4 linked regions of the Schizosaccharomyces pombe genome follow. The gene in region 3 interacts genetically with the main gene of each other region. Each region holds a gene or a part of one and is shown on either strand. Other genes may lie near its edges.

Region 1 (7,140 bases), on a different chromosome or scaffold from region 3:
GATTCTTGAGCAAACGCTGAAGAAAGAATGCAAGGCTTATGAAAGATCTTGTATTGAGAATGTGAAATTAAAGAAAAGAACAGAACAAGCAACCGCATATTATGCTAGTTCCTCAAGCGAACCGTAAAAAATGGGACATATGAGTCGATGTAAATTTCTTCGAATTTATTAGTTATTAAGCATACTCAGTCTATGTGTATCTTTTCCTTCTAAAATTTGACATGACAATTTACGACGGATAGTGAATGGAAGTAATGTGCAAACTATGTCATATATTATTTTTAGTTTTTTACATCTCTCCATTACTGATGGAAGTATCTACTGTTTAATTATGAATGTTTTATAAATGAAATAATTTATTTGTATGAAAAAGCATTATTGCGAAAAGTCTGTACAACTCTTGGTAAAATTATCACCATGAAGAAGCTTTTTATATTTAAAGCGTTTGTTTATTACCCCTTTTCAATCGTATTCAATCATATTCTTATAGTAGTTTTTATATTTACGATCCATCCTGCATTGCCCTTCTGTATCGGACAGGTTGAAAACGCGTAGCGGATTAAAAATCAAGTTTGAACAGACTAATGTGCTTTATTAAACATAATTTGAGAAATTAATTATCTTCTGTTCTAAGATACGTTCAAGTTTTACTCAAAAAATCAATGTGTACATCAGAAGGTTGGAGTATTTACCTACGCTTAAAATCAAATTTGCTTTGAAAAGATATTAACTTTCAAATGTTCAAAATTGCCGGAAAGCGCATAAAAAATATTATTAACTACTTATTAAAACATGTTAAATAAAGCATGAACAATTCCAAGCAATTTTTGAAGTACCAACCCTTACTTGAATGGCTAGCAAAACACGAAGCTTACATTTCACCCAAACTGTATATCGCTTCAAGTGGGGTCGCAGGAGATGGTATATTTTCTACCTTTGATATAGATGAACTTGAAGTTTTAGCAAAGATTCCTAGAAGGATCATTCTGAGTCCTCGCAACTCAAGATTTGGAGATTCGTTGTATACACATTTTAATGAATCTAATCGGTCTGATGATATTAACTTTGACAATAGAGATCAGGTTGGGCTGGTCATGCTCGTTATAACTGTAATATTGGAAAATATAACAGATAGTCCGTGGAACGCTTATTTAAACACCTTGGACGAAACTTGTATGCCTGATTCCCCATTATTATGGAAAGATAAAACGTGTCTTGAGGGAACCTCAATGCTTGATGTAATAAATACAAATTTAAGAGTATACAAAAATCAATATGATCAATTGGTCCGCCCTTACTTTTATAAACATGCTGATCTCAAACAGCTTTGTCCAAAATGGAATCAGTATTTAGAGACTTGTGTTCTCGTCCAAAGCAGGTGTTTTTACGTTAACAGCTACTACGGTTTATCTTTAATACCCTTTTTCGATATTTTTAATCACAAGTCTGGTCCAGCTATTGCTTCGCTACATTGTCAGGAGTCAAATGATCATAAAGGCGATATCAAAATAGAATTTATTTCTTTTCAGTATATACGAAAGATGTCCGAAATATTCAACTCCTTCGGAAACTTTGCCGCTGATGAATTGTTCACGCAGTATGGATTTATTGATACCGCTTGCAAAGTTTGGCGCGTCGACATGACAATGATTGCTTATGAAACTAACAGAAATTTTTATATGGAGTGGATTCATAAAAAAAGAATAATCAACACCCAGGAGTTGCTGGTCACCCCAACTACATACGCAAATGACAAGTCTGAGACTTTACGTTCAGTAATGATAAGACAACCTATGGATCTTTATATAATAACAGATCATGGTCCCAGTTACGGGCTTTACTTATATTTATTTTTTTGCATTTACAAAATCAAATTCCAAAAGTGCGATATGAATATAGTAATGCTTACAAAGTATTTTAATGAAATCTGGGCTGTGTTTATAGCACATAAGGAGGGAGAAAAAGAAAAGGTTGTTGCTCAACTCTCTGGTTTTTCTTTTTATTGTAAGGCTATAGAATTTCTACAGATGCTGTGTCAAAAGCGCATTAGTCGTTTCAAAAATGGTGGGTTGACTGCTGAAGCTTATAAGACTCTATTGTGCGATCCGACTCTTAAACGAGAGAATAGGTCTCGTTTAGTCTTACAAATTTTTTATCATGAACTTAATTTACTCGAAAAATCAATGCAAGAAACAATTTATCTTTGTACTGAAAATTTTGAAGATTAAAAAAACAACATACAACGGTTGGAAATGTTGCATAAAAGGAAAAGGTAAGATCGAAGTTCAGCTTAAATTTTAATCATAATTTTGTGCCCTTCTTAATTAACATTGTAGTAACTTTATGATGTTTTCCAAAACCCTGCATCGTTCCCTTTCTAGATGTCCTGTGTAATAAATAACCTATTTGCCATTTCAAACTTTCGGTATAAACAGCATCAGAAATATGAAAGCGTCAAATTAAGCAAATGAATTAGTAGGCATAGAAATAAGAAATCCGATGACAATTTAGATGAAAACCAGTGTAGAGCACATAAAGTGTACAATTTGTGAAGGAATAACATAATATTAATCGTGCATGGTAAACTATGCTTTCCATGGCATTCTTTCTTATGAGAAAAGGAAGTAGAAAACGCATTTATAAAATGACTTTACTGAAAATACATATGGCATCTTTTTCCCTTTAGTTAATTAAACTAAATGATAAAATATTAAAATTAGTCACCGTCTTTGATGATTTGGAGATCAAAATATCCCGGAAATAGTTTTTTGAACCGCAAAATTCCAAACTGTTAAGCTAACCGATCCTACATGCCATGTTAGTATTTCAGCTGCCATTGTGATAAATGAAAATAAAAATAAAAAAAAGATTTTCAGAATTTTCATTAAAAACAACATACCGTAGATTGATCGTGGAAGAGATAGCACCCATAGAGCCCAAGAAGGAAGCAAGAATGCAGGGAGGAAAAAGACAGGTGTTTTGGACTCTTTGAATTGAATATAAAACCGGAATCCACGGGTTAAAATCCAAAGAAAAAGGCTTAAAACCCGCTTGAAAGTATCTTGGAAAATTTTAACATTGGCTGATTGTTTTTCCCACTCTTGACTGAGTTGTTCATACTTTCTATTCAGACGGGCCCATTTAGCAAACTGATCTTGACTGCTAGTAGCGTTTAGCTCTTTCTTAACAGTAAGCAGCTGCTCTAAAATTTCTTTGTTCTTCTTTAAATCTTTATTATTAGAAACACTAACGTAAATTCGATAAGCCTTTCACATTATTAGTTTTCTTTACAACAAGTATATATGTTAAATTACCCCATCAATAGTCCTTTTTTTTGCAAATTTATCGAAGAAATGAATAAATAAGCTTAATAAAATTGTTGAAATAATCAGATCCATCATAAAATATGGACTTGTAAGAAAGTACAGTGGTTAGTGTCAAACGTGTAACTGTTGAGTATCACGCTCCCTATGACATGCTGGTCTAAAGGTCGAAACTAAACACAAGTTTGTTTGTTACGATATTAGCTATTTTGTGTTAGAAAATAATAATCTATTAACCTTTTAAAGTTCAGAAGAATTGATGTTAAGTATATTTATCTAGCTTCTGTAATATTAAATAGAAAAAATAGATAAAATAGCTATATGATATTCAATTGACAAATACTTTGATCATGAGATCCATGAAAGTAACTATTTTCATTCATAACGCTTTATTTAAATTCAGTAAATTGACAAATTAGGCAGAAGGTTGTTGAGGAGATGGGGGGATTGGTGGATTTCGAGGATCGTGATCATTTTTATACTCAGACTGACGCATAAGTTCAGAAATATTTAAATGTTTGTATGCATATGGCCTTGGTCCAAGAATCGTCTCAACTTCGTTATAAGTGATGACTTCTTTCTGTAATAGACGTTGAGCAATATTTTCTAAGCCTTGCTTATGTTCTAGCAAAAGTTTCTTAGTTCTTTCGTATGCATGCTTTACAAGCTTTCGAATTTCTTCATCAATCATTTGAGCTGTAGCCTCAGAAAATGGTTTTTGAACAGTTTCCCGAGTGTCGATGGGATAAGCTATAGTACCAACAGTCGGAGACATACCATATTGGGTCACATACGCTTGAGCCATGCGCGTTACTTTTTGAAAATCATCGGAAGCTCCCGAAGTAATCTTTTCTGGTCCAAAAAATATTTCTTCAGAAACACGCCCAGCCAAAGCCATTCCCATTTGATCTAAAATCTGCCCTCGACTCATCAGATACTGATCTTTGGGTAAATAACTAGCATAGCCAAGGGCTTGAGCTCTAGGAATGATTGAGACCTTCAATAGTGGATCGACGTACTCCATAAACCAACCAGCTACCGCATGTCCAGCTTCATGATGAGCAACGGTGTTTTTTTCTTCAGGACTTAGTACCCTACTCTTCTTTTCCAAACCTGCCGTGACTCTTTCAATAGCTTGCTCAAAATGTACCATTTGGACTTCATTACTATTTGATCGTGCTGCAATTAACGCTCCTTCATTACATACATTCATTATATCAGCTCCTGTAAAACCAGAAGTTAGGACGGCAAGACGCTTGGCAATTAAGTCGATGTTATCGGCTGCCTTAATATGCTTAAGGTGGACCTTAAATATTTGTTCACGACCGCCAATATCAGGACGATCAATCGTAATTTGACGATCGAATCGACCAGGACGTAGAAGTGCCGGGTCCAATACGTCTGGTCGATTAGTACCAGCGAATACGACGATATGTTCGCTAGACGTAAAACCGTCCATTTCAACTAATAGCTGATTAAGAGTGCTTTCGCGTTCATCATTGGAACCAAATTGTCCTCCACGTCCTCTTGCTTTACCAATTGCATCAATTTCATCTATGAAAATAATACAAGGAGCGTTCTTGCGAGCAGTAGCAAAAAGATCTCTTACGCGGGAAGGTCCAACACCAACAAACATTTCAAGAAACTCAGAACCTGACACACTTAAAAAAGGGACGTTAGCTTCACCAGCGGTGGCTTTAGCAAGAAGAGTTTTACCGGTACCAGGAGGACCAGAAAGAATGGCACCACGAGGAATTTTAGCCCCCAACCTTTCATAAAACTTGGGATTTTTTAAAAATTTGACGAATTCCATAATCTCTTCTTTAGCCTCGTCAACGCCAGCGACATCAGCAAATTTTATTTTGATATCAGTTTCATGATTAAACATCTTCGCTCGGCTCTTACCAATTCCAAAAATGCCACCTTGACCACCTCCTGCGGCACCCGAAGCCCGTCGCGATAAATAAATGACACTTCCAATGATCAGTAAGGTGGGAGCAAAAGACAATAAAGTAGCAAGAACAGAGACTTCGTCATGATAAGCGACAGGGACAAATTCAGAAGGTGGAATACCCAGTTGACGTTGTGCATCCTCTAGTTTTCGATCGAAAGAGTCGATGGAACCAATTGAAAAATAGTACTGCCCTGAACCTGAAGCTACACCGCCTCTCAAAATAACTCTAACCATATTGCGGTTAACAACAACTAGCCGTTCAACTAAACCCTTGTCTAAAAACTGTTGTCGAAAATCTTGCCAAGTAATTTCTTGCATATTTGCATTAGGCGAGAGAACATTGTAAAGGATATAGGCAACTAAAATTCCACCTAAAATAGTGTTGCCATTTAAGGCTATTTCAAAAACTTTTTTCGGATCATTGCCATTCAATCCCTTCTTTTTTGAATCATCATTTTTCTGGCCATTTTTCCTACCATTAGCATCAGAATTGGATCCTGAAGACCCATTTTGCGATCTTTTTGAGGTTACGCTAAATTGTTTAGATGAAATGAGAGGGATTTTATGTTTTTCCGGTATTCCTTTATTTATTTTAAGGGACTGAAAAGATCTCTGAGAAAGTGAGAGAAGAGAAAATTGTGAAACAGCTGTGGAACGTGTAGAAAAAGTATAAGCCCTTGCCAAACGCAAAGAAGAAAAATTATCCTTCTTTACGAATTTAGAAACCAGGTAATCTCCTGTTTTCCTAGTAGGTGCCCTAAACGTCAAAAAGGGATTTCGCATAAGGAATATTATATGGAAATAAGTCGCAGGGTACAATAACTTGAATTGAGCGTGTAAGGGCAAGTATAATATATAAAACCCTCAATATCGAAAGAGATAAACGTAAATGATTGTTTTAAGAAAAATATCCTTCGTATATGACGAGTAAAGGTGGATTCTAGAATTAAAAAATTCAAGAAAGCAGTAATTAATCGTTCAATTCAGTAATTGAGACCAAAACGAATAGAGACGAAAAGTTATAAGGTTGTATTAAAATAAAAATTTATTATTACCTCCGGACATGGATTTGGGCAACCTCCAAAAAGCGTTATGAAATTGAAGAAATTCCAATGTTTCACGTCAGCAAAAATGGTAATTAAAAGGAATAAGAACACAGTTGTCACTTTTTTTTCAGCTCAATAAACCCGTTACTAATCCTGTCAACAAAAAATAGCCTAAAGGAAGGATAATATAGATGCCTTGGACTTGTGTGTTGTGGGTAGTGACAACCTTCCGAAGCATTAGTCATTTATTATGGGCACCGACCGTAATGAAATCAACCAACTTCTTAGCATTGTCTCTATTAATTACTATAGATTTACTAAACGTATTACAAGTATATTGTTGACAAATTAAAATACATTATAATTTGCTGAATGGATAATATTAGCGAGTTGATTTACATTACTAACTTAGATACCATAATAAAAAACATTTATGCATATTTGTATCAAAAAAAAAAAAGGAATAAATAATAGTCACTATAATATGCAAGCTTGATAAAGAAGAAACTTTACGGCTATCAAATATATATGGAAGAACGCATTTTCACTCAAAACAATTGACGAGTATTTTTCCCAAGTAAAATACTCTCTAAAATATACTTAGTTTTGGTAAATAATGAAAAGATTTTTTTTATCATGATGGCACTATCGTAATAATCGACAGAGAGATAAAAGGGTCATAAACAAATAAGTTTAGAGAAGGAAGGATATGCTATGTCACAAGTGTTGCACTATATAAAACAATCATTTAGAAGCATAGTTTAAGGACAAATGGTGGTAAAGGCTAGTAATCGGAGGATCCTAAAAGATCAGCGAC
Region 2 (9,224 bases), on a different chromosome or scaffold from region 3:
CGTTAAAAAACGTAAAAGAGGAAAAAAAAGGAAACAAAGAATATACACACACACACAAAGTAAACAACGAAAAAAGGAAAACTAAAAGAAGACTAGACAAGAAAAAAGCAGTACAAGATTTTCACAAGCTAGAATTGGTATATCGTATATATATATATATATATATATATATATGCGTGTTTCAAAACAAAGCGACTACCTAACCCAATGATTAAAAAAAAATAACAAGGTAAAAAGGTAGAGGGAGTGAGGACAAGTAAGAAAATGAAACAAACTAGTCGCAAGAGAGAAAAAAAAATAAGAAAAATAAAGGACCGTTATGTATAATAAAAACAATAGATTAGATTAAATAAACAACCAAAAACGTCCCGATATTGCGAGGAAAAAAAAAGGGAAACAGCCAGAAGCGTGCACGAAAAAAAGATCTCCTATTTTTTTTATAAAAAAAAAAAAAAAAGAGAAAAGAAATAGCCAACTAACGTGCGCGTACGGTATAAAGAGAGGGGATTCTTTTCAATTGCTGAAAAGAATTTTTAAAGGAAGAGAAAGAGAAAAAGAGGAAAGGAAAAAAAGAAAAGAAGAGGATGAATGAATACACAATGGAATTCAAGTACTAAGGGGATCACCAACTTTTCTTTTAGTTGCTCTATACTGCTCTGCTCTGCTCTACTTGCTTTGCTTTGCTCTATACTGCTCTGCTTAGCTTGCTGTTTGTTTTTGCTTGCTGGCGAAAGGAGACTGACTAAGAAAAGGTTTTTTGAGGAGGATTTGTTGCGCTTTTGTATGGATACGATCAAGATAATCAATTACGTTAGCCCACCAATCACGAAAGAGTCAATATTTTCCACGGGCCAATCAATCCGACCATGTTGGTTCAGGCTCGATAGCCCTGATCCTCGGAAAAGCAGCGTGCAAAAGCCGCTACAATGCAAATTTCAACTTTGGATCGGGTGACATGTGACTCAGAGGGGAGACGAGGCAGAAGCAGCAGGCGAGCGCAAAAGTAAACAGAGAAACGCAGCAAGAGAAGAGAAAAAAGGAAGAGAAAGAAAAAATGAAAGAGAAGAAAAAAAGTAAATTGAAGAAAAGCATTGTATAATAACATTTAAAATGGGAGAAAAAGAAAGATCAATAGAATAGAATAGTATAGAAATGCAGTAATGAATGACAAGAAACCAGGGAGCATCAGACATGTTCAGTAAATAATTCCAATAAAAGATAAGTAAAAGAAATTTGTCTGAGTGCAAAAGAATATTTCAAGATGTTGTAAGAAGGATTATTTTGTTTATTTTGTTTTTGTTTTATTTTATTTTCTTTTTCTTTTTCTTTTTGTTTTTCTCTTTCTCCTTCTCTTTCTTCTTTTCTTTTCATCGCTTCCTCTCATCTAAAACTTTGATCCGACTGATAGCTTGGAATCCATCGTATTGCATTACACCACACTATACAACGCTATATCCTTCGATGGATTATCTGGTCTTAGTCTTAGTCTTAGTCTTTATCCTAGTTATTGGTGCCTGCCCTAGCCCAGACAGAGATTTGAAGAATGGGGGTTAGGATCCTTGATGCCCCCAGTAGACAAAGAGCAGTATAGCAATGACAATGACAATAGCGATAACAATAAAATAGCGATAGTTTAGTAAAGAACTGTTAAATAGTAATAGTAATAGCAAATACAATTTCTATTTGAATCGCTGTCTTTGTCTACATTCGTTTTTTGCTCATGTTCCTTCATCTCCTGTGTTCATGCTTCCGTACGAAAAGACCTGCAACGCTTCCGGCCCATCGGACGCTGCATTTTACTTTTTTAGATGGAGCTCTGATCGTCCATCTCTCCCATTCCTCCCGGCTACTAAACCCGGAGTTAAGATAAAGGTGCGCCTGCTATCCGAAGAAAATAAACTCTGCGTAACCGAAGCAACAATGGTCGTGGTAGCAAAAGGAGTATAGGGTGAAAAGAGAAAAAGATAAAAGAGAGAAGAGAGGAGAGGCGAGAAAGGAAACAAGAATTATAATTAAAAAAAAAAAAAAAAGAAAAAAAGAGATTTTCTCTTAAGAATCAAAACATACTGAATGCAATTGTTTTGCCGAATACTACGATTTTTGACGTATTGCACTTTTTTTGGCTTATTGCTGGATCAACATGTATAAGAGTCTATTTAAAGGATTTCCGTTGTAAAAATACAACTTATCACACTCACACGTTGACACTAAGAGAAAAAAGCTATAGCGAACAATGATACACACACATATACATACGCTGTTGCTATTCACATACGCTGCCTTGATACACACTGTCTTGACTATAAGGAAAAAAGGTTTGGCTTGGTCACAAGTAAAATGTAGCGATGACTTTCGTACTCTACTAATGATTGTTTAGTGAAGAATGATAAAAGATAGTAGTGTGTATTGATTATACTTGTATAATGCAGTTGAATTTACTATGAATAATTTGGAAATTTCGCACAACTCGTTGGTCCTCTTAAAAAAGGAGAAATTTCAGTTTGCGAATATTGGTTTCTCTCTCTCTTTACTTTGCTTTGCTTTGATCTGCTCTACTATACTCTACACCCTTGCCTTTCTGCTTTCTTTGTTTGGTTGCAAAATTCACAGATCGCAATGAAAAAATGTTTTAAACTGCGAACTAATAAGTAGAATTGATTTTGCAATGAAAAGTAAAATTAAATTAAATAGAAAAAGAAAATTTTAAAAAGAGACAAAGAAGAGTAAGGAAAAAAAAGCCCCCCCCCCCCCCCCCCCGAAAAAAAAAGAAAAACAATGTATTCATGGTAAAAACAAAAAAAGTTTTTACTCATCATTCATTGTATCGTTGATCAATTAAAGAATACAAAAAAAAAGTAAGCATAAACCCATTTGGAAACATTGCATCAAAGGATTTTTCATTTTCATTTTCATTTTTATTTTGTTTTATTTTATTTTATTTTATTTTTTTGTTTACCATCATTGATGAAACAGACTAATGAAAAAGAAACTCTAGTACATTTTTATTTTTATTTTTATACTATTGAGCTTTAAATATTAGAGTATTTTATTCTATTGAATTTGAATTGAATTTATTTTAATTTTGGTTAAATTAATTGATTTTCTTTTCTTTGAAATTTTTATTTTATTCAATCTTTTTACACTTTCTAACGTACTACCAAAGTCCCTAAATACCGTATCGCCCTTCTACCTAAAATTCTTTCAAAATGACACACTAAACCACAGTATTTGCAAAAGAAATACTCACCCATCCCACTCATTGATTTCAATAATCTTCAATTCTCAAACACAAAACGACATCCTTTCAACTACTTCTAAAAGAATAAATATTTTCCTTTTTTTATACTATTCATCTTATCTAAACTCCTCCTGCATCCATTTCTCTTCTCCATTTTTTACCCATCTCTCACCTAACCTATATATACTTATATGTAAACAAACCTACTACTCTCTATACTTTCCATACCAAATATCCTCAAACATCCACGCAAACCTCCAATCTTTTTAATTATTCAAACTCTTTAATACCATTCCTATCTAAATTTTTTACTTCAAACTTTTTTTTTTTTTTCTCATTTCTTTTCGCTCTATTTCTGTCACCAACTCTCGTTCCCTGCCGGCTCCTTGTGTACACTTTGCCCTACCTGTCCTAACCACCAAACCCTCTATTGTTCGGAAAACAAACACTACACATGCATTGAATGACTCTGCAGTCTACAGATTCCGCTATTGTGATCGATTCTGAAGCTGATGTTGACATTTCAAGCTCACAAGCTTCTCCTTCCAAGGTTTGTCGCGTATTTCCCTTTCTTTCTGTTCGCTTTTTTTTTAACCCTCTTTTTAGGACAATATTGCTTTGTCAGAACACAATGTTATAACTGTTCTTGATACTCCTCAAAGATCTACTCAATGCGATAGTTTGCTAAAAAGTTTCAGGTAAGTTGACAAATATTGTTGCCAGCATTTCCTTCCTTTCCACACTTTTCTTCCACATCTCGCTAATCGTTCATTTGGGGTCAGTACTCCTTTAGTTTCCGGCTCCGAAGATGTTCTCCCTAGTCCCCGTGATGCCCTTAATATCACTAATAAAAAGTCGGTTACCGATAATCTTTTGCTCTCTTTAACTTCTTCAAACCAGTCAACAAACACGAATTTAAATCCTTCTTCACGCGTCGAAATCATTAATTTAAACTCTTCTCCCCCTAATTCCCTTTCCTCGCAACCAAAACACCAAGAATTTCATTTATTCCATACTCCCACCATTCCTAGGACTACACAATTGTCATCGAAAACCTCCTCTCCCATCGTTATTCCCGACGACAATGAACAAGTGGCTTCCCCTTTATCTAAAAAAGCTGCTTCTTTGACTTCTTCACCCTTAAAAGATTTCCAGTCCTCCCCGCCGCTCTCCACAGTCCTTCAAAAATCCCACTCCCTTCACGATATACTACTGGACACGAATGATGACGATCATTTCCCATTTACCCAGAGTCCGCTAACAAAAACAAAATCTTTCAACGATGCACTAACATCCTCATCCTCTATACTAAAGCCATGCATGCCATCCATCGCTAGTCCTACTTCTAATCGATTATCACATGCCCCTTCTACGCCTAATTTATTTCCTAACCAAGACAGCTCCAATACAATCGACCTCATCAATAACCGTTCCAAAACCTCCGTAGAAAATCAAGAAAGAACTTTCAATCTCACATCTGATGTGCACTTAGATAGCCCGACCTCTCCATCCAAGCATTCTTCAATTGAACCCAATACTAGTCAGGAAGATAGTTTTCAAGAACTTCCTTCTCTAAACAAACTTTCCATTCAAAGTAGAGCTTTTAAAAAAATGAGACTACCCAAAATTTCAAGGACTACCGATACGCCTCCTGCCTCTACTTCAAATTCAAATAAAAAAAATTTGGATAAATTAAAAAAAATGAGAAAATTATGCTCTAGGAGCTTGGAACCGTACGAGCTAGACTCTAATACACAACGTAAGAGGAAACGTTACGAAGATTCTTTGAAAAAATCAAAAACTTTAGATAAGGTTGACAGCTTGAATAGAAAGATGGCGAAAGAATTGGACAGAAAGAATTCAAAGGAACTTCAAAAAATTAACAAAGTTAAGAGAACCAAAGAAGAATGCCTATCTGAGATAATTCTTTTATCGCCGGATGATTGGGCTTCATCTTGGTATTCAACTGTTCGCTCTCAATTAGATTCATACAACTGCCAATTCGTTGTCAATTCAAATCAACCAAAAGACTCAATTATGTGGAAAAGGAAGGTAAACAATGTGTTTAATTCTTCTACCAACCGGTTTGAACTTAGCATAGAGCATGAACAAATCGAACCTTTTGCCCTACTACGGTTGAAATGCCGGGATTTTATAAAATACATCGAAGAGGACCAAGCTGATACTTTTTTTCATGAAATGTCTGAAAAGTTTAAAGGCTGTAAGCTAATACTGTTGCTGGAAGGCATCCCAAACTATTTTAAATCTCTGAAAGCAGAATTAAATCGTCAATATGCAGCAGCTGTTAATAGCGGTACCAGACCTTTGTTATTTGGTTCTTTATCAAAATATCAAAACTTTACTAAAGAAAAGTTAGAGAGTGAAATCGTCCGCTTCAGTTTCGAACATAGTATTCTTATAAACACTTCAAATGACGAAAAAGAAACCGCTCAATGGATAGTTTCCTTTACCGGCGACATAGCTTTATCTCGTTACAAGCACTTTTCTAAATTTTCAGCTAGAGCCTCTACTACCGAAATAGGACATGTCAAATCCGCCGATAGAATTGAAAACTCTCTAAATTTTATGTTGCGGCAAATACTACGAGTTACACCTAACATTGCTAACGCCATATGCGATCAATTTGACAGTATACCATCTTTAATTCATCATCTAAAAACTCACGGCGAGGAATCATTAACCAACGTTGTCATCCAATCTAGTATTAGTGAACGAAATTTAGGTCCGGTTTTATCGCGCCGTATATATAACACTTTCTTATGTAAAGAAGCATCCAGTGATGCACCATAGTGATCGGTCATTATTTGTATTTCATTAATTGTTATCATGATATTTTTTCCTTTTTTTTTCTATCTATGAAATTTTCTTATGATATACTTTCTTCTAACTAAAAATTAACTAATATCGGTTTCTAACTAAAGCACCTCATCTTCTATATCGTCGGTAGTATTCGTTCAAACTTTCTAGATCAATCAGATTCCAAACTTTCATCGTACTGGTTCAAGGCACGTCTAATGGCTAACACATTGTCTACAATGACAGCATCAACTCCAAAACGTACTTGGCGTCGGACATTGTCAACATCATTATTGAGAACACCATAGGTGTAGCAAGATAAACCCAATTGTTTAACTGCCTTGATCAGCCTCGGGCACATAATGAGCGGTTCACAAGCACTAACGATACCCAGAAAACTCCACTGTGAGGCAAACTTTAAAGCTTGTCTAAGCGATGCTGCACGAACGTCTGTTCGGTAAGCGGTACCTCCTTCAGTCAAAAAAAGAACAGGATTAGTCGATTTCAAAGAAAGTAAGATGCATATATCAGGATTAAAACTAGAGAAAATATACTTTCTTTTACCACCATACTTTTTGATTATCGATAGAATGGTATCCACGTAAAAGTTATAATCATAAGCTATAGGGAGCAATTTCTCTTCCTCAGCTTCACTTAGCATGGGGTACTTAAATTCCACATTAAGTCCTACGGATTGTGGAACTTCCTTCAAAACATCCTTTAAAGTTGTGAACGGTGCACAAATCGTATGACCAAGGGCATTACCCTTATATACTTTAGGCTTCAAACGTGCGTTTTCTTCAGCAAATTCACCGAAATTAACCTGTGATCCTGAAGGTGTAAATGAGGAACTGTAGGCCCTAGGACGTCTCTTCTGCTGAATGTCACTTGCATCATCTTTAATTTCTTCTGAAGGAGAGTGGGAAGCCCCTAAGAATTGCTCCAAAGTCAGCGAATGCACTTGTGCATCCGTTCCGGTTTCGTTTACGATAAAATCATGGTATACCACTGGGACCATGTCTTTAGTCATTTGCACATCTAATTCAACGTAAGAAGCACCAAGATCTGCCGCTTTTATAAACGATTGTAAAGTGTTCTCGCCAAGTTGAAGACTCAAACGATCAGGCTGATTCTTACCAAGTCCACGATGTCCGATAACCGCAACACCATTCGATTTCCCTGATTCTGATGTAGTTGTGGCAGATTTGTGTAAAGAACGCTCAGCGTCTTCCAATGCAGTGCGACTTACGTTGGAAACTGCTTCCAGCGATAAGGCAGGGGTACTTATGCCATCATTTGACGAAAATCTATCATCAACTGTCACCTTAGAAATAAGAACATCCGCATTAACATGAGCTATTGGTTTAAGAGTTTTACTCGAAAGTAATGGTAAGGGTGCCAAAGGTTTCAACGACTGCATATGATTCCCCAAATCAGATACCAGAGAAGTCAAGCAACATACAGTTCTCCCTAATATTTTATGGGATCGATTTGCTAACAAATCAATTGTAATAGTTGCTTCTTCTGTATTTCTTGTAACGAAAACCAATTCATACGGTGGAGAAGACCCGTTTACAGGTTGCGGACTATTTTCTTGTGCGGCATCATAATGCAAATGAATAGAGTCGTCGGCAATTTCATCAGGCTCCGCCAAATTCTCTAAGCAAACTTCACCGGCATTATCAAAATGGGAGCGAGGGATATCAATAATCACTGAGTTGTTTTGGCTAGAAGATGGTGTCATAGAGCCATTAGAAGCAGTAGTGTCGTTTTTACTCAACGAGTCAGTAGATTGAGACATGAAATCTACTGAAGATGGTCTACTTGCGGCAAAAGATGGAGACCGCCCTGAAACATACACAGCATCATCACCTTGAAGACTAACGCGGATTCTACCGGCCAAATCACTGATTCGAATAATGACCACTGAACGAGATAATTGTAAATCCATGGCACGTTTTCTGCTCCTCATTTCGGAACTTGAGGCTTTGATATAAAGTGTATGTAAATTAACAGGCTTATCACTCAAGGCGACTTGAGTTCTAAGTTTATCTGCTAGGTGTAAATACCCCCGAACCACAGCTTGTTCCATAGCAGTCCAACCTGAAGAATCAACTTCGTCAACCGAAGCGCCCGAGGCAACTAAAATTGAAACAATTTCGGAAAGTCCAGTAGCTGATGCAAGCATCAAAGGAGTCCATGAATTCAAAAAATCCCTTGCGCTAGGGTTTGCTCCAAGTTTGAGTAACATTTTAACACATTCCGGCCTGTTATAACGAACAGCGGTGTGTAAAGCTGTATTGCTACTAGCATCAACTTCGTTAGGATTGAATCCTGCAAGGATGAGTTCTTCTACGATCAAATCGTAATCGCCTACACAGCAAGTCAAGACCAAAGGAGGAACGGGTCCCGGCTTGGTAGAGGTTGTTTCCTTATCCTGAGCAGAAAGCAAAGCATGAAGAGCTTCAACATGATTTCCCTTAATAGCCAAAGTCAAGGGAGTGTCGTGCATTACATCGCGCCAACATGGAAGCATCCAATTCAATGGCTCAGAGTCAGGGATTGATGAAACAATTTCACAAAACTTACTGCACAATCCTGCCCAACCGAGTTTCGCAACAGAGTGCATCACACTCTGTCCCTTGCTATTTCGTTCTACAAGAAGAATCCTTGAAAGTAAACGATTAGAATGGTATGAATCCACATAAACCACTGAACAAATTTGTTTCAACACCTCCAAAAAATATAAAACTCCTTCGTCAGGACCACAGAGGTTGTTAATTGCACGACGTAATGCAGAAGCCAGGCACTCAGAACGTAAACCAATTCTTCCTATAACTTCACGCATACAAGCTTTGGCTCCCGCAATGATGGAGGCAGCCAGTATATCTACGAGTACACTATCAGGTGCATTTATACAAGCGGTCACGACCTCTGCGGCAATATCCAGTTGAATAAAAGCTAAAAGATCCTTCTTCAAGGGATGGTGAATTGACAATTTTTCCAACTTGTCTTTCACTTCACTATCGTTTTGAGAAGAATTCAAAGCCTTCAGGGCAATCATGGACTCATAGATCTTGGACGAATTCGCAAAATCAAGCTTACACACCTTCTGCTCATAAAATGTAACCAAGCGCTCCGTACCAAGGTGCTTATCCATATTGGCAGC
Region 3 (6,704 bases):
AAAAAAAGAAACCAAAAAATAGATGGCACTTTGAGAGATAACTTTTAGGCTATATATGCGATGAAAAATGCAAAAGGGAATGTTTTGTAGAAATGACGGCTCAACAAACAAAAAAAACAAAAAACAAAAGAAGGCAACAAGGAAAGGCTCGTGTCGAAGAGGAAAATATGGGAAACAAAATCAAACGCCGGGCGATATATTCTCGGTTTGGCAAGTGGGAATGTAAATGCAAAAAAAAAAACGATTAAAAAAAGAAAAGGAAAAGTTAATCAATATGGTATGCGATGAGGAAATTATTTGACAAGTTGATTGAGCACACTCATACAAAACCAAAAAATGGGGAAACCAAGAAAAATAGAAATGAAATGCAAAATCAAAAAGACCAAAAATTTGGCACGCAAAAGAAACCAAAAAAACGAAACAAAAAAGATAGAAAAAGAAAAGTTATGAAGAACGGGTATCAAACCCTTTAGATATAGCCTACTAAAGGGAGGATATTAGAAAAATATGCAAAATGTTAGATGTGTAGAGGTTCAGTAGTGTAGCGAGGATCTTTTATTTATATGACTGCGAGCACGAATGTAAACAAATATCGCCATGGCAGCTAGGTAACAACCACGAGGCCGATCGCTGCTTCGGCGGATTTAGGCTGACGTAAGATGAGACTGTTTGTTACCGATAGCCCTTTTTCCAGATGCGCTCGCATTGGTTCTCAAGTGGGGCTTTGAATAAGCCACGTTTGGCGGCTGTAAATACACATAAAAAGGTGTAAGAACAAGCGTTAAACTTGTTTACCGATTATTAATAATAGGTCGATAAACAAAGATTTTAACTTTAGGAACGAGGACATGGGAAAGGGAAGAAGAGATGAGGAAACATTGCGATGTTCAGGAAAGGAAGATGAGGTCACTAGTAAATAAACAATAGAACAAGAATAATAAATAAATAAATATATGATTACAAAGTAATCACAAGCGCGGACTTGGTGAGTACAAAGCAAATTGTCATTCTATTCTATTTTGGCCTATAAATTCAAAAAAACAATATCTAGGTAGGATGTTTGAGCGTCGTATGAAACATTGCTGCAAAAACTTGATATGCTGAATAACGATATTTATGAGGCGCACAGACGATCCTCTTTCATAGCCACCTACGTGTGCAAGAGAAAAGGTTGTGGGCAGTGTGCACTAGGCGAAATATGCAAAACTTGGATTTTCATCATACATAGTACAATGTAAGAGAGATTGTAAAGCATGTTTGAGAACTCATTATGCCAAAAAACTAGTGTAACCAAGTATTGATTAGAAGGAACTGAGCAGGATGTTTAAGTTAAAAGAATCATAGTATTTGTAGGGGCTGGTGTACTGCAAGGAACCAATCTGCTATCTCACATAGCTTGTCTTTCAACATCGCCATTGTCAAGTTTCCTTCTTCATCCGTTGAATAACGCTTTATGCCCTATTCTCATTAAACGATTTACGATACATTTTTTCCATGCATACACTGGTTATCATAGACAGACGGATAGTAGCCAAAATGATCGACCCGAACAGTCATGAGTCTTTCCGTCCCGAACAGTCTGTAAATCTTCAAGTACTGAAGCGCATCCATATCTTGAGCAAACGCTTACTGCCAACGGACAAATAGACAGGTGATCTTGCCGGCTGGCCCTGAAAAAAAGCATAAAATATTCGACCGCTCAAATGGGCTTATCTGCCAAACACACTTTGCAAGACATTTCTATTCGATACTTATCATCATATCCTATCATAATTCTATTCTCCTTCTACCATCATGTCTACCGGTTTCTACGTTTGCATTTATCTTTGCGTTTTTGTACTTGCCATAACTGAATTGTACTATTTGCTCTCGCTGATTATTTCCTATTTATACAAGTAATTAATAATTTAAAAAAGAACAAATAAATAAACTGCCCACACCAGGAATCGAACCTGGGTCGCATCGGCCACAACGATGAGTCTTAACCACTGGACCATGTGAGCTAGTACAGTAGCCGTACAACTAATGACTGATATATGGTAAAATACTCCGCACTACGGAAAGCTTAATTAGGGAAGCACCGTGGATATCCTATTTTGGGAATTCTTATCCATTCTATACGATGATGAAAATTATCGGATATCATCAACTTAAAAAAATTGATCTCATATAAAATAAACGAGTCATGCTATTCTATTGAAATTCCACTTTCTTCCTTTACTCACACCAAAATATTTGAAAACAACAAAGAATTTCTCTTTGTTTTCTCGTTCCTTCTATACCTTATTCCACAGGCCAGTTTTCGTAGTAGAGCAGGTTTTTGAATGGATCCATTGAGTCTATATTATGGAGCAACAAAGTAATTTAGAAAAAGACCTCTCGGTCTCATCCTTTCTTGATGAAAAGGAAAAGTCGGGATACAAGCAATCTGTAAGATTAGTTTCCAATGACCCTTCTGCCTCACCGGCTGCTACGCATAAACCACCGTTCATCAGTGCGGCTTTGATGCTGTTAAATAACACAATTCTTTGCATTTCATTCACCATTGTCGTTCCTACGTCCGAGAGATTTGTCCAACATCTGGGGGGAGGAAATGGTTTGTCCGGTGTAATTATCGGATTGCCCACAATCACTGCCCTTGTGTTGCTGTATCCCATGTTGAGATTCTCGACTCCGAAAGCTGCCAAGGGATATACGATTTATAGAAGACCATATACAATGTCGTGTATAAGCTGCATTATTGGTCATATCATGTATGCACTCGCAGATAAAGCCAAAAGTGTGGCCTTGATTCTTGTGAGTCGTATTTTTACGGGTGTTGCGTGTACCATGTTTTTATACCACAAGCGCTATTTCACAGATAAAGCCTTGATCAGCATCAAATATAGAACGTCGATGGGTGTGGTCAACTCAGTCATGGCAACGCTTGGTTTGACAGCTGGTCCATTCATCGGAGGATTAATGGCCAAGTCTTCAATGAAGTCTCAAAGCGATATCTGGAATGAATATACTTCGGGTAACTGGCTAATGGCTTTCATTTGGGTAGGCTTGTTTTTGTTTGGCTTTGCTTGTTTCCGGGAGGTTTTGAGCCCGCAAACGGACGTAAAGGAAGAAGTAGTCGAAGAGAAGCATGTCATTAATGATGTCAAACAGGATACCAATTCAAAACTAGGATTTGTGGGGTGTCTTGTTATTTTCGTTGTCGCTTTCTCTGGCTTCTCTGCTTACTTTCTATTAAATGCATACCAAGCATCTGTTCCAATTTACACTTCTATGCTTTATAATTATTCATCCTTCCAAGCAGGTAACTTCCTTTCTTTGGCTGGAATTATCAACGTACCCTTGCTTTTAATATTTTCCTATTTGACGCGTTACTTGACTGACAGAGATATCATATTGTTGGGTTGTTGTTTAAACATCGTATGCATGGTTATTCATATAACTATTCACTATACAGGCAAGGAATTCGTACAACCTTACTTTATTATTTACACCCTTGTTTTTTTTGGATCTTCTATTGCTAATTCCCCTTCGGTCTCTTTATTGACAAAGGTTTTACATCCTAAGTACCACCTGATAGGTAACGTCGCTGTGCAAATATCAATTTCCTTATCCGACACAGTTGGTGCTATCTTTGGCGGTGCATTTCGCTCGTTCTCACCTGTTGTTTTTTTTGCGGTATGCTTAATATTAAACGTTATGTCTGTGCTTGCACTATTGATTATATGGAAGAAACTTAAGGTCAAGTTGCGCCTTGCATAATTCACTGGTAACTCAATGGTTAGGTTGCTCTCTATTTTTTTTTTTTTTTTTAATTTTTTTACAAGGGGGGGTTGATTTGTTGTTTATTTATAAATTTGTAAGTTGTGTTCCTTACAAATAAATCTAATACCAAATGGCTAATTAAATTGAAATAATGTTGCTAAATCTTTAATTATAATGAAATTAATTGATGAAATATACGTTAAAAGCCAAATGAGTTCGAATTTTTTATCTTAAATACTTTTTATTTTTTATCTATAGTGTGCCCATAGGTGCCTGCCCTTCAATTAACACATAGAGAGGTATGCCATTATGATCAATTAGACAAACAACCTATAAAAATCATCTACAGGAAAACATCAAAGGTACTTTCGTTAATAAAACATCTAAAAATTAAGAATATAATTATTGGTTCTTTTTTTCCTTCAAAGATGGAATGGCTCCCAGTTCTATAGCTAGCTGCTCATTTGACTGTAGAACAGGGTCATTTGTTGTCCATGTATATATTATTTGTCGAGTATGATTCTTTGAAGTTCGTACGGGTTGTGCAGATAGATAGCGGACATAAAGAAACGTATCTGCTACTAGAACCAAGATTGCTGAAAACGCACATAGCGCAATTTTCTAAATAATATTAAGTCAATACAAAGGTCTCCCAGGAACAAAACGAAAGTTTTTAATTCATACCTTTTCAATAGATAAAGATGAAGTGCAGTACCAAACAGCGGTCACCGTTCCTACTACTGTGAAGAGTATATTGATTATAGCGCTGATTTGGTTTTTCATTAGTCGTAACTCTGATTTTTTTTCTCTCTCAGGGTCCATGGATACGCCTGCCATTGATGGAAGCAGAGGAATACCATCATATAGCTCTTTCTCCTTTAAGATAGAAGTAGTTGTATTGTCTTGAGTATGGCTGTTTTCATCAATTTCGCCCAAGAAGACACTGTCGCTCGGCACAATCTGTACACCTCGAAGAAATTCCAAAAAATTGATATTCCTGTTATGTAATCGTAATTCCTTTAACATTTTTACCAGCTCAAATCCATCGACAGTTAATTTATTACACCGTAAGTCTGTCTGCTGTTTTTCGGAGAGCCTGTACAGCATTTTTGCAATAATGAGTCAATTTGACAATTTCGAAGGTATTAAAAAAGTAGAAGGGTAAGTAATAATGCTATGAAGTCTAGAAAGCAATCAAAAACGATTCATATAGTCCGAATTGCGTGAAACAGGATCAATCTAGGTTGGTTGACGATATTTGCTAAATTTCTATTGAGTTTTCTAAATGAAATAATTAAACCAATATTTTAATGTCTAATACTACGTTTTATATTGACCAACAAACAAACATGGAGACAGTGGTACATCCAAGTATTTGCAAAAGTCAAAGTTACGCAACGTAATACATAGCGTCCTATAAGAGGCAAAAAATGAAAATATGAAAGTTCCTCAACTTTTTTTGAAATCACCGTTTTGGTAATTAGCATCATAATTTTATTCTTCACCCTCGCTAACACTGTGCTAGGCCAAGCAGAATTGTAGACTTCCTCGTTCAGTGAGGTATAGAAGAATGGTACACGCTACTGTGATATTATATCTTTCTATGAAGTGACATAAATCTTGGTAACTGAACATTCAGTTTAATTTAGCGCCGCAATTGCTCTCGGGTATTTCATACAAACGATATTCAAAGATTATTTATTGGAATTTCAATATAATATTAAGAAGTAAATGCTACTAGCTTTGTTGGCTCTATGAGTTTTATATAACTTACGCAATTATTACTTGCGTCTATGGTTTCAAAATGTGTCCCAGTATGCTCATTCAGCGCTTGGAAAGCTAAAGGTTCAAGAATTTTTATGACTTTGGGTTGAATACTGAGATACTTCATGTTCAAAAATACCAGCGTTTCAACGGCGTTCAATTCTTCCATGTTGCACCATCCAAAGTACTTTTTTTTGCGAATTTATTTACGACAAACTTGGCTTACGTAAACTTTGGGGTAGCAAAATTCATATCGCCGCAGAACAGTTTGCAAGAACAAATATAAACCTAAAGAGGTACGGGTGAACAAATAGGTATTCGAATTAGGAAATGAAAAGTTCGAAGCTGAAGGAAGCTTAATTACGAAGACAGAATCAAATAAAGATAACTTCCTCCAGTATAGTTTTCATTTTTCCGAACGTCCATATCGTCTTTGCCTCTGCACCATTAAATTCGAATTTTTTCAACGATTTTCAAAGCTCACTATACCATATAACGTAATCTGAAGAAAGAAAGTTCCACTGATGCATGGACGCTATTTAGGTTTTTGCCCTTTATCTTTCATCTGATCTTACAAAGTCGCTTGAACCACGCTATCCTATATACCGAAGCAAAGGCCAACGAAAACAACTACGTTAATACCTGCTATATTGACTAAAAGAATGATATTTCACTTGGCAGCATTCGTTAGCTTTAGCTAGGAAATTTACGATTATTTAAAAAACCCATTCTTGTAATGCTCTTCTCATTTATTAATCTCATCATTTTCACTTCCAAAGATATAACGACTGAGGCGTAAAGCTACGCTACCACTTCCTATCAGTAAATTGTGCGACTTTACTATACGTTCTTCAAACTTCGTTATTTCCCCACCAAAAGACTTACTTGCAGAAAATTTTCTCTTTGTCACTGCTACACCCCGTTTACCACTACTCCGTTCTCCTTGGTCGTTTACTTCATTTTTGTCGAAGTAATCACAGCTATTGATTGCAATTTCAATTTATAAGAAACTGCAATAAGAGCTTAGAAGGAGCCTAATCCGTTTTCCTTTTTTTTTTTAATCTCCGCTAAATCCCTGCAGGTTTGAACTAATCAGTTTTCAGGAAGTAATTTAGAAAAGGTTCTACTCTCCTCCTAGAAACGCATATGTGTCCTATTCAATTAACCAATACTAT
Region 4 (9,778 bases), on a different chromosome or scaffold from region 3:
CCCTTTTGTCAATGACAACCGAATTCGAAAAAGATATCTTAAAAGAGTCATATCAGTTATTTTGGCTTCGCAGTTATTGAGGTAAATGAGTGCGTCAGATAAATTTCATGAAAACTTCATCATTCATGAGGTAAACTTTTGCATTAACATCAGTAAAAAGGTGAAAAGATGGTATAAAAATCAGTTCTAAAACAGCATTGAAAACAGTGCAAAAAATATTCATCATTAACCATGGGTAGTAGGTTCAGCGCTTTGTTTATTGACACTTCCACCGCTTTGTAATGGACGAGGATGCTGCATTCTGTTCATTCGGCCGCCTCGTCCACGTCCACGATTGGTACGCATTCCAGTTCCATGTCCCTCCATCCGGTTATTTCGATACCATCCTCTATTTTGACGATAGTACGAATCATCACGCATGATATTCACCCGCACACCTTCTGGAACTTTGATGCTTCCAAGGGCCTTTGAAACAGCATTCTGGTTTTCAACAAATACATATGCATAGTTAGTGGGGTTTACGTTTTGAGGAGCTTGGGGACTTTTGTAACGATTGAGTGAAGTACGAATTTGAATATTCGTAATCAGGCTGTCTGTCCCGTCCTTAAAGTAAGAACGGGCTTCCTCTTCAGAATTGCAAGGGGTAATATGAAATCCACAACGTTCATAACGCTGCTCACCACTATATTGACGGAATTCACGATCGTTGCCCTTCTGCATATCAGTTCTTCTACCTTCTTGTGCTTGAGATCTTGTAACATTTGCAGCATTCTCTTGTTCAAGTATGGTAACCTCTGTAGTCGTCTCACCTAGCTCGAGATTTCCAGTACCCTTAGTCACCTCTTCAACGTCAACTTCCTCTTTCCCTCCAATTGCTGGTTGTTCTTCTTCATTAGGACTAGGCTTCTCTGCTACGCCAGAAATGGGTTCTTCCTCGGCAGCAGGTGGTCCCGACTTCTCTTCGATTACTTCATGAGTCTCAGCCGACTCTTCTGTAGTATTCGCTCTTGACATTCCTAGCTCATCAGTATGTTCCTGATCGTACCCTTCAATCTGTTCTTCTTCGGTTGGTGTAGCCGTAGCTTCTCTGTTCTTGGTAAACTGTGCTTGAGATTCCACCAACCTATTGTTAGCGTAATAATAGGTACCGGTATTTTCCGAAGTTGAGCGTGGAATGTGAGATGCATAATTTTCGTTACGACGTGAAGCCATGCGACGATAGCCTAAATTAAAGCCATGAGATTTGCTTTCCACTTGAACATGCCCATTTTCGACGACAAAAACAGTCCATCCAAAGGAAGCATCTAATAAATTGAAGTTCCATAGGTTTTTAAAAGCAGTGCCGGGAAGCATGTTATTCATAGCATATGAGTTAGTTGCATCGGGCATGCGAGAGACTAGGCGAACAACATTGTTTATTAGATGATGTTGTTCAGGGGTAACCATCTTCTCAACCTCAGCCTTAACAGTGTCATACACTTCCATAAACTGTGCACGGGCAGCCGAAAGTTTTTGAAGATAATGTTCAGGACTATGATTTACGCAAAACTCATTGTAGCTAGCTCCATAACGAAAATGAAGACCGGCGGATAAAGTCAGGTCAGCCTGGCAAGCAGTAGCTAATTGAGAAAGAACACCTTCTCTTCCAATGGGATGATGCGTAATAAAAATACGTGCCTCCTCTCTGTCAAGCAGGCTCTTAGCGGTTTCTATTAGTTCACCCATTTGAAGGATTGTAGTCCACATAGTACCCTGGCCACCAGCAATAGTTCCTTTACCGTCTCCATTGTCAAAAAGCTTAAAAGGGACATAAGGACCTCCAAGACCAAGTAAACGGATTTTCATATCTCCAATTTGCAATAGGTAGGAATGAAGTTCGTCCACTATGTTAAGGTTTGGAATAGAATATTCTCCAGAACGAAATTTTTCCAAAACGTGCACATCTTCGCAAGCTCCCCATACTACATATACAGGGACTGAGAATTTCTTCTCTTGTGACAAAAATTGAGGTAATTCTGAAAGCAGGCAATCGGGGTGAGAAGCAATACTATTCTTCAAATCCCCAATTGGATTCGAGGGATAATAATCAAAGTTTTTGGACCTAGGAAGCTTTTTTATGAGAGGCGAGAATTGGACAATGTGACGAAGAGTACTGAAAAAAGGTTAGAACAAAGAAAAATGAAACATAAAAATTTTTGACACAAAACATACCGTTCAGATATGCTAGGAAGTGAGGATCGCTCAAAAAATCCAAAGTCACCAGTGTGGATGACACAGGAGGCATTGGTTTCCTCAACCAGGCTATTTATTAAACTCAGTTCACCTGAAGGGATAGTTATTAGTAAAAACGCGTATTAAAGAGTAGTAATTTTAAGGATAGGAATAGCTAAGGAGAATAAAGTGTATGGACAAAATTCTTTTACGAACCAACGAGGATCTTTAATGACAAAATGAGTAAATTGAGCAATTGCGCTTCAACTCCTGCTAAGCCATTATGGATAAGTTCATGCAAAAGCATACAAATTCGCATCTTCTTATCTTAAAAAGTAAAACGATCGTCGATAATTCCCCCGATGGGGTGCTTTTGAATTCTCGCTGGCAGCTCTAAATCCATAAACAACGCATACTTACCTCGAACATCGGCAATACATAAGATCCTGGATTTATTATCCAATGTGAGTACTTGAGCTGAAACATCCAACGTGGAATTATTCTCGGAATCTGAGTACGTTTTAGAGGATTTATTTTCCAGCGTCCCAGTTGAAGGTTCCGCTTGAATATCACTTTTAGCCGTCTTTTATGTAATTAGTTTAAAATTTTTGCAAAGATTCATTAGATCTATACTTACATCCACGCTCATTATATCGTAAAAATCTAATGAAACGGATAAAACAGTAAATGGTGTTGAGTAAGGGTTTTGTGATGATGCCTCAGTTTCGGCACTGTACTACTTCCTACTACAATAAGAGAATGTTGCTTCGTAATGTTATAACTTAGATCCACCACAAACGAAGTAAAGTAAATTAAATATATAAATACACAAAAAGCAGCAGTTAATAGATAGTTTTTGAAATTTTTAACGTGACAATTGTATTTCTGTAGTATAAAACTCCACAAAAAATAAAAATAAAAATAAAATTTAGTATATATTAATATATATATTTATATATAAATATGAAAAAAAAAGGTGCTTCAATGAAGGATTACAAAATTCTTGAGAAAGCTCGGTAATCGGGACGGCAGAGTTTATTAGGGTATATGTTAAATGTTGCAGCTTTGGAATGGAATTGTTAACTTATTTTACACATACTATGACTTAAGTTTGCCTCGTGTACAGTAGATGATGCTACAGTCTGAAGTATATTTCAATTTCGTTATATCGTTTTTCCAGGTTGAGATTTGAATACTAGTTGCAGTGCGAAATTTACAACATTTGAAGTATGTAAATGTTCTGTTTATTTGGCAAATTGAATAAAATAAGACTGTTAGCAATTTTTTCGGTTTTTTTCTATGTACAACAATACTCTTTTGTGTTATTAAATAATGCTCGTTTACTATAACTTAAACTCGTTTGTACGCTGTATTCTTACTACTAAGTATTGTCAAGATTTGGAAGCAAGGGCATCGCCCCATCAACTAGGTCATATAGTATTCGCGTGCTTCAAGTAGCACAGCAGCACATTCCCACCACCGAGTGGAATTCGAAGTTGTGTGCAGTGGTATAAATTTTGGAGAAGTGTAAGTTGTATATAATTCAAGAATGAAGAGATTTATGTAATGATTGATACAATCGGAGCTGTCGATGCATACATTCTATTAAATGACGGATGGACGAATTGTTTACATGGCTATTTGTTAGACATTCTTGTCTATGGCTGTTGCAAGTTCTTCATTTTTCTTAGATTCTCTTCCTCAAATACTTGTTGCATCTTGTTTATTCGTTTGCGTTCCGAATTTGCTAATTTTACATTCAAGAATATCGCGGCAACTGTTAGTCTGCCTAAATATTGTTTTAATTTCATTTTCTGCGTTTTCAATTACTTTTATATTTAAAAAGGTTTAACAATTACTGAATTGAGTGGTTATTTGGGAAGCCGTGTTCGAACAGCGTTCAAAATTGATGTCAGCCTTAGACCGTTGTTGATTGCGAATCAAAATGGATTGGGTTGCATTGTCGAAAAGCTGTAAAACTCATTTGTTAGATGAAGGCCTTGACGTGTCTTCAATACATTGTTTTGATCAGTATTTGATAGTAGGCCAATGTTCCGGCCAAGTCATGGTATTTGACGTTTCTACAGACAATCATTTCACTTTGATCCAAACATTTATAGCACACAAACATTCCGTTTCTTCTATAGTTTGCCTTCCATTTGAAGCTGATGGAATTGTAGACCTATCAATCATTACACTCGACGAATCTGGGTATGTTGAGCAACTCTCATTAGCCGAGCAGCAATTATCAAATTCATTATTTAACTTATTTCTTGCTAACATTTTCTCAGATTACTTTGTCAATGGCTACTGAAAACATGTGACCGACGAGCTACTTTGCAATTGTGTGACGGGCTATGTTTAAAGCTATTTAGATTAAATAACAACTTTCTTGCTGTTACCGGAACCTTTTTGAAAATATATCTCATTAGAATCTCCAACTTTCAGATAGTTGCGACTTGGACTGGTCATGAGGACTGGCCTATTTTGTTTCCGTTCAAAGACGAAGCTTTATTAATCCCTGTCGCCTATTCAGATGGATCTGTATCTCTTTGGTCAGTTGATTGGTCAGCTCTTACTTTTAAAAGAAATTCAGTTACAAAAGCAGATGTTAAACCAACTTTTGGTAAGGTTATTGATGTTGTACCAGCAGATTGCATTTCTTCCAATTATGCGCTATATGTATACTCGGATGCGGTAGTACTATTGGAATCGCATGAGAAATTTATAGCTTCATATTCACTTGCAGAGATAACATCTGTATTTGTTTTGGCTGATGGCACGGCTTGTATTTTTACTCTTTCGTCTTCAACTTTACTCAAACTTCATCAATCTCCTGAACCTCATTTCGAATTAATTTCTAAGTATTCTGGAGATTTTCCATGGAAATCGTGCACCATTTTAAAAAGTAAACCCGTTAGTTTGTGTGTTTATCCCGAAAAAATAACTTTCAATTGGTTAACAGAAGGAACCGTAGACTCATGCAATCTTTGTAAGTTGAGCAATACAGCTGCTGTTTCCTACGCTTATACGGACTCTCTTAATTTATTCCTTGGAACAACCTCTGGTTTAGTGATGTTTTCTTTGTTTGACTGGTACCTTCACAATGATCCAGCTCCTCTTTACTCTTTTACAAGGGTTTCTGGAATTGTAACATATATGAAAATATTTGAAACTGAACATTCACGCTCAATTTTAGTTGTTGCTACCAAAACTGGAAAGGCTTACTTTTATCAACAACTTCAGGGTGAAAGATGGAGATTTCTCTGCGAGCGTGCTTTGCAATCTTCTTCAATTACTAAAATTATTCATGCAAAGAAATCATTATCTTCTGGTTCATCAGGCTTATTTATTTTTATGAGTTTAGATGGCTCATTGTGTGCCTTGGATGAATCTTATAATCTGTAAGTTATCAGTGTGTTATCAGTTATTAATCGACTTTTATAGTCTAAGCTACTTGCCATCTGATGGTGCTCAAGTTGAAACTTTGTACTCATTTCCCGATTTAGATCAAATCTATGTTGCTTATGACAATTTTCAACTATTAAATTGGGACGTTGTGGATCAAAAATGTTCTGAAGGAAATTATTCAGATATTATTGACTCTTCGTTCATATCTATTGGTACTTTTGATAAATCTAACCTCCCTACTTTGTATCATGGTTCTTGTGCTTTACTCACCGATAATTTGGTTACTGTTTTTTTAGACGCTCATGATTTAGTACTGAACCTCAATTTTTCTAATGAAAATTACATAGAAAAAACGTATATTGACGAGTTCCTTGACTTTATCCAACCTCCTTTCCTAAACTCTGATATAGAGATGGAGCATCAGTTGTTAGGTACTGTTTTTGATCAATCCAGTTTGCATCTTGGTGTGGGTAAGCCAGATGGAAATGCCATACTTCGATTTGACACCGAAATGAAGTCAATAATAAATACTGCACCAAATTGTTCCGCTTTGCTGTTATATCTATATTTTTCTCTAATGGTTCCTTTATGTAAATATGATGGGCTGAGCGATACCAAATTGACTGAAGGAATATTATTAAAGTTAAAAGACCTGAAAACGGTTGATTACAGTATTTCCGTTCTTTCATACGTCTGGAATAATTCAGGCAAGGTTATGCAGGGTATAATTAAATCAATGTTGTCGAGAACATTGGAACTTATATCTCCAGAGGAACTTCAGAGGCTTATATATTATTATTTTGAGTTTTTTACGACTACAGGTGGAGAGTACTATCTGAAAAAGGAGGTGCAACATTCACTGTACATCTTGTCATTAATTGTCAGTTTACGGCCTTCAGCATTTGATGTTTCACAATTGAAATTTTTGTCTTCCTATTTATTACAAAAATCCGAAAGTATGGACTATGACTTAACAGCAATTCGCCTGTTGAGTAATGGTTTTTCCGTGTTTTCAAAACATATTGATCCTGCAAAGTTTATATACAACCTGGTTTTGTCATCCTTAGAGAATACTAAGGATTTGGATGATAAAAATAGCATTCTCTATAGATCAATAGTGGATGTCTCAGTTTCGAATGCTGTTTTACTGCTTACATGTTTATGCGATGAAGTTTATGAGCAAATGAAATCAAATTTACGTTCCGTTATACTAAAAGTTGTGTCTTTGGCAATTGAAAACACACAATCCGAATTTTCTTTATTTAATCAATTGATCACGGAAAAATTACTTCCAATCCTTTACTCTAGCCGCTCGGTTGAAGAAGTTCACGACGTTACTAACGCAATTGCAACCCAATTTCCATTTGCATGTTTTGATAGTAAGGTGGAAAAATATTCCTACATTGACGATGGTGATCTTGTGGTTTATGAAATAGCTAAAAGAAGGAAAGTCGTCAGCAAGGAAAACGCCGAATGTGATATTCAGGTATTGTCCGCCAGTCCTTCTGGTGACTATTTTGTTGGAGTCAGTGCTACGCAAAAGGAATGCATTATTTGGAAATACAGCCAAGATTTCGTAAAATTCTTGAACTTATCAACACCTTCATTAACGATCCGAAAACGTATATTATTACAAACTAACAAAACGAATGAGGTTGAAATTCCTGAAGTCCTATGGATTAGCCAGTCATCAGCAGAAGTCCATATTGGGAGCACCTTTGCTATCATTGACTTGTAGGTGGATTATGAATAAATTTTATCCATGCCACTAAATAGACGAGCCAATTTTTGTATTGGAAGTGGGAAAAACCTCAGTAGAGGCATAAAACGTGCGTAAAATGGATAGTAAAAACGACCCGATTTGTTTGTATATAAGTTTTGAATAATAATTTTTGCTAAGTTTTGAGGTTCTAGTAGAGGGGCTAATACTCTGTTTGGGGTATCTTTTTCGAACATTGTAGATTTAATTTGCCCTAAAACATAAAGAGAAAACTTGAAGTTGGGATGCTGTGATAAAACCTCTTCCTCTAATGTTTCATGTAGCGAAACTAGTGCCGCTTTTGAAGATGAATAGGCACCTGTTAATCACGTTAGAAAGGAAAAGCAAATTTTATAAAATCAACCCCACTTACCGACTCCCATCGCACTAAAATAAGCCAAGGAGGATGCTATGTTGACCACATGAGGATTTGGATCTTGTAAAAGGAGAGGAAATAATGCAGATGTAATTGCCAGCTGTCCGATCACATTTGTTTCAAAGCATCTAAATTAAGCAGTTAGAAAATAAGGCTTACTACGCTTAACCTGTACTTACTTTTGTAATTCTTGTCTTGATATAGACAGCAAATGATTTTTTGGAGCAATAGCTGCAGCATTGATCAGAGCAAAAGGGGTCCTGTTCATCTTTTTCAAAGAATGGACACATCCTTCTACGTCCTTATCTTTGGTAATATTACATTTCAAAGCACTAAATTTAGAATTGTACTGTAGAAAAGATGCAGGCTCAGTACTGTCCAAAGAGGCGACGCTGAAGCCTCTATCCAACGCCTCTTGAATAATAGCATGACCAAGAATCCCACTTCCTCCTGTTATCACAATCAGTCCTTTAGCACATGAATAGGATTGTTTCCTGAAAAGTAGAGGAAACCAAGAAAGGGTTAAGGCAGCACAAACAAGCGAAATCACCAATAATAATATATGATTCAACATCAGGGAATGACTTCTGTGAAAAATATGATAAGTTGCTGAATGGAAACTTGGCAGAAAGTCGTTAACATTAGCAGCGAACTCTTTTGTGTTTCGAATAAGTTAACGTCCAAGTTCTGATCGTCTAAAGACCCTAATATCGTATTTGACGAAGTCAAGGAGAGAACCTTAGTAGATGCTGCCAAACAAAAGCTATTTCCTAGTGTAAGCAAAAATCACGCGTAGTAGAATAATTCATTAAATCGTTGAACACTGCTTTTATAAACTTATATAATAAAGTTTTGATCAGTATCGCCAATGTTGTATTGAACTTGTTAACTAAATTATTCAATCCGTACTACGAAAAATGGAATGCCCATCCTGATCTTAACTTGATTAGTCTTATAGAGTCAAAGATAAGTGATGGTTTTTTTTTTAAAATATTACGCCTATCATAAAAAGAAGCATTAAAAAATGCGATTAAGAATTGCGTCTTCAATTTCCTTATATATTGAAACATAGTACACACTATACCTTCCCTTCATCTTCGACTAGTTGTTTTTAAAATATTTGAAAGTTTGAGCGTGCTCAGTTTTCTATGTTGCATATAGATCAAAGGAACATATGTATGTTAGTAAATATCATTGCATTCAACTATGCTATTAATTAATGTTTATTAAATGATCCCAACGCATGTTGATGTTGTATTTTGCATTTGGTAACCCGCAGTTGGAATTTTCAGGCATCTACGTACAAAGTAAATAAAGTGCAAAAGGGTCAGCTCATTAGTTTTACGGGTCCTCAATTCGATGTTGCAGATTTTACAAGTTTTTAAAATGTATTTCATTATTACTTTTTATATGCCTAATAAAAAAGCCATAGTTTAATCTATAGATAACTTTTTTTCCAGTGCACTAACGGACGTTACATTCCCATACAAAACTGCGTAGTTAAAGCTAAGGAAAAGTTAATATCATGTTAATTAAATACGCTATTTACAATAAGACATTGAACTCATTTATATCGTTGAATATGAATAACCAATTTCAGCGAATTTTTAACAAACATCGTTCACCTCGTTTAAGGATATCTTGTGTATGGGGTGTTGACTTGCTTTATCGAATAATTACCGTACCTGTAATTGGCTTGCTGGATATAGCGGTAGTCTAATATCTAGCAAAAATCTTTTGGGTGAAAAGGCTTGCAATTTCACGACACCGAACTATTTGTCATTTTTTAATAAGGAAGTTTTCCATAAATTCCTGTAATTCTCGGTTGATCTAATTGAAAAGAGTAGTTTTGCATCACGATGAGGAGGGCTTTTGTAGAAAGAAATACGAACGAAACGAAAATCAGCGTTGCCATCGCTTTGGACAAAGCTCCCTTACCTGAAGAGTCGAATTTTATTGATGAACTTATAACTTCCAAGCATGCAAACCAAAAGGGAGAACAAGTAATCCAAGTAGACACG

Evidence for each region.
Region 1: mutations in vph2 (region 3) and get1 together harm fitness more than expected from each alone (negative genetic interaction), as found in Schizosaccharomyces pombe (2 studies listed by BioGRID).
Region 2: mutations in vph2 (region 3) and eme1 together harm fitness more than expected from each alone (negative genetic interaction), as found in Schizosaccharomyces pombe (2 studies listed by BioGRID).
Region 4: mutations in vph2 (region 3) and wdr7 together harm fitness more than expected from each alone (negative genetic interaction), as found in Schizosaccharomyces pombe (2 studies listed by BioGRID).

The regions. Positions count from the first base shown.
Region 1 is NC_003423.3:4,315,208-4,322,347, reverse strand, and holds get1 (GET complex subunit Get1), read right to left. Parts: upstream 3,440-7,140; 5' UTR 3,402-3,439; coding exon 3,315-3,401; intron 3,267-3,314; coding exon 2,900-3,266; exon of another isoform or gene 2,807-2,899; coding exon 2,745-2,806; 3' UTR 2,229-2,744; downstream 1-2,228. Other genes in the region: protein Spo2, read left to right, coding at 1-127; SPOM_SPBC16C6.01C (lysine methyltransferase), read left to right, coding at 807-2,228; m-AAA protease Yta12, read right to left, coding at 3,739-6,060; fit1 (CoA pyrophosphatase (FIT) family lipid storage protein), read right to left, coding at 7,108-7,140.
Region 2 is NC_003424.3:3,294,345-3,303,568, reverse strand, and holds eme1 (Holliday junction resolvase subunit Eme1), read left to right. Parts: upstream 1-3,655; 5' UTR 3,656-3,701; coding exon 3,702-3,788; exon of another isoform or gene 3,789-3,844; coding exon 3,845-3,936; exon of another isoform or gene 3,937-4,020; coding exon 4,021-6,049; 3' UTR 6,050-6,227; downstream 6,228-9,224. Other genes in the region: glycerophosphoryl diester phosphodiesterase Gde1, read right to left, coding at 6,228-9,224. UniProt on the Schizosaccharomyces pombe protein: Interacts with mus81 to form a DNA structure-specific endonuclease with substrate preference for branched DNA structures with a 5'-end at the branch nick. Typical substrates include 3'-flap structures, D-loops, replication forks and nicked Holliday junctions.
Region 3 is NC_003421.2:66,699-73,402, reverse strand, and holds vph2 (V-ATPase assembly protein), read right to left. Parts: upstream 5,152-6,704; 5' UTR 4,873-5,151; coding exon 4,450-4,872; intron 4,387-4,449; coding exon 4,168-4,386; 3' UTR 3,924-4,167; downstream 1-3,923. Other genes in the region: SPOM_SPCC757.11C (transporter), read left to right, coding at 2,347-3,762. UniProt on the Schizosaccharomyces pombe protein: Required for vacuolar ATPase assembly.
Region 4 is NC_003423.3:2,267,155-2,276,932, reverse strand, and holds wdr7 (WDR7-like protein), read left to right. Parts: upstream 1-3,680; 5' UTR 3,681-3,738; intron 3,739-3,975; 5' UTR 3,976-4,156; coding exon 4,157-4,422; intron 4,423-4,502; coding exon 4,503-5,615; exon of another isoform or gene 5,616-5,658; coding exon 5,659-7,360; 3' UTR 7,361-7,365; downstream 7,366-9,778. Other genes in the region: SPOM_SPBC16H5.12C (uncharacterized protein), read right to left, coding at 226-2,152, 2,212-2,323, 2,632-2,794, 2,849-2,860; SPOM_SPBC16H5.14C (DHRS family dehydrogenase), read right to left, coding at 7,366-7,700, 7,755-7,885, 7,937-8,331; imidazoleglycerol-phosphate dehydratase His5, read left to right, coding at 9,617-9,778.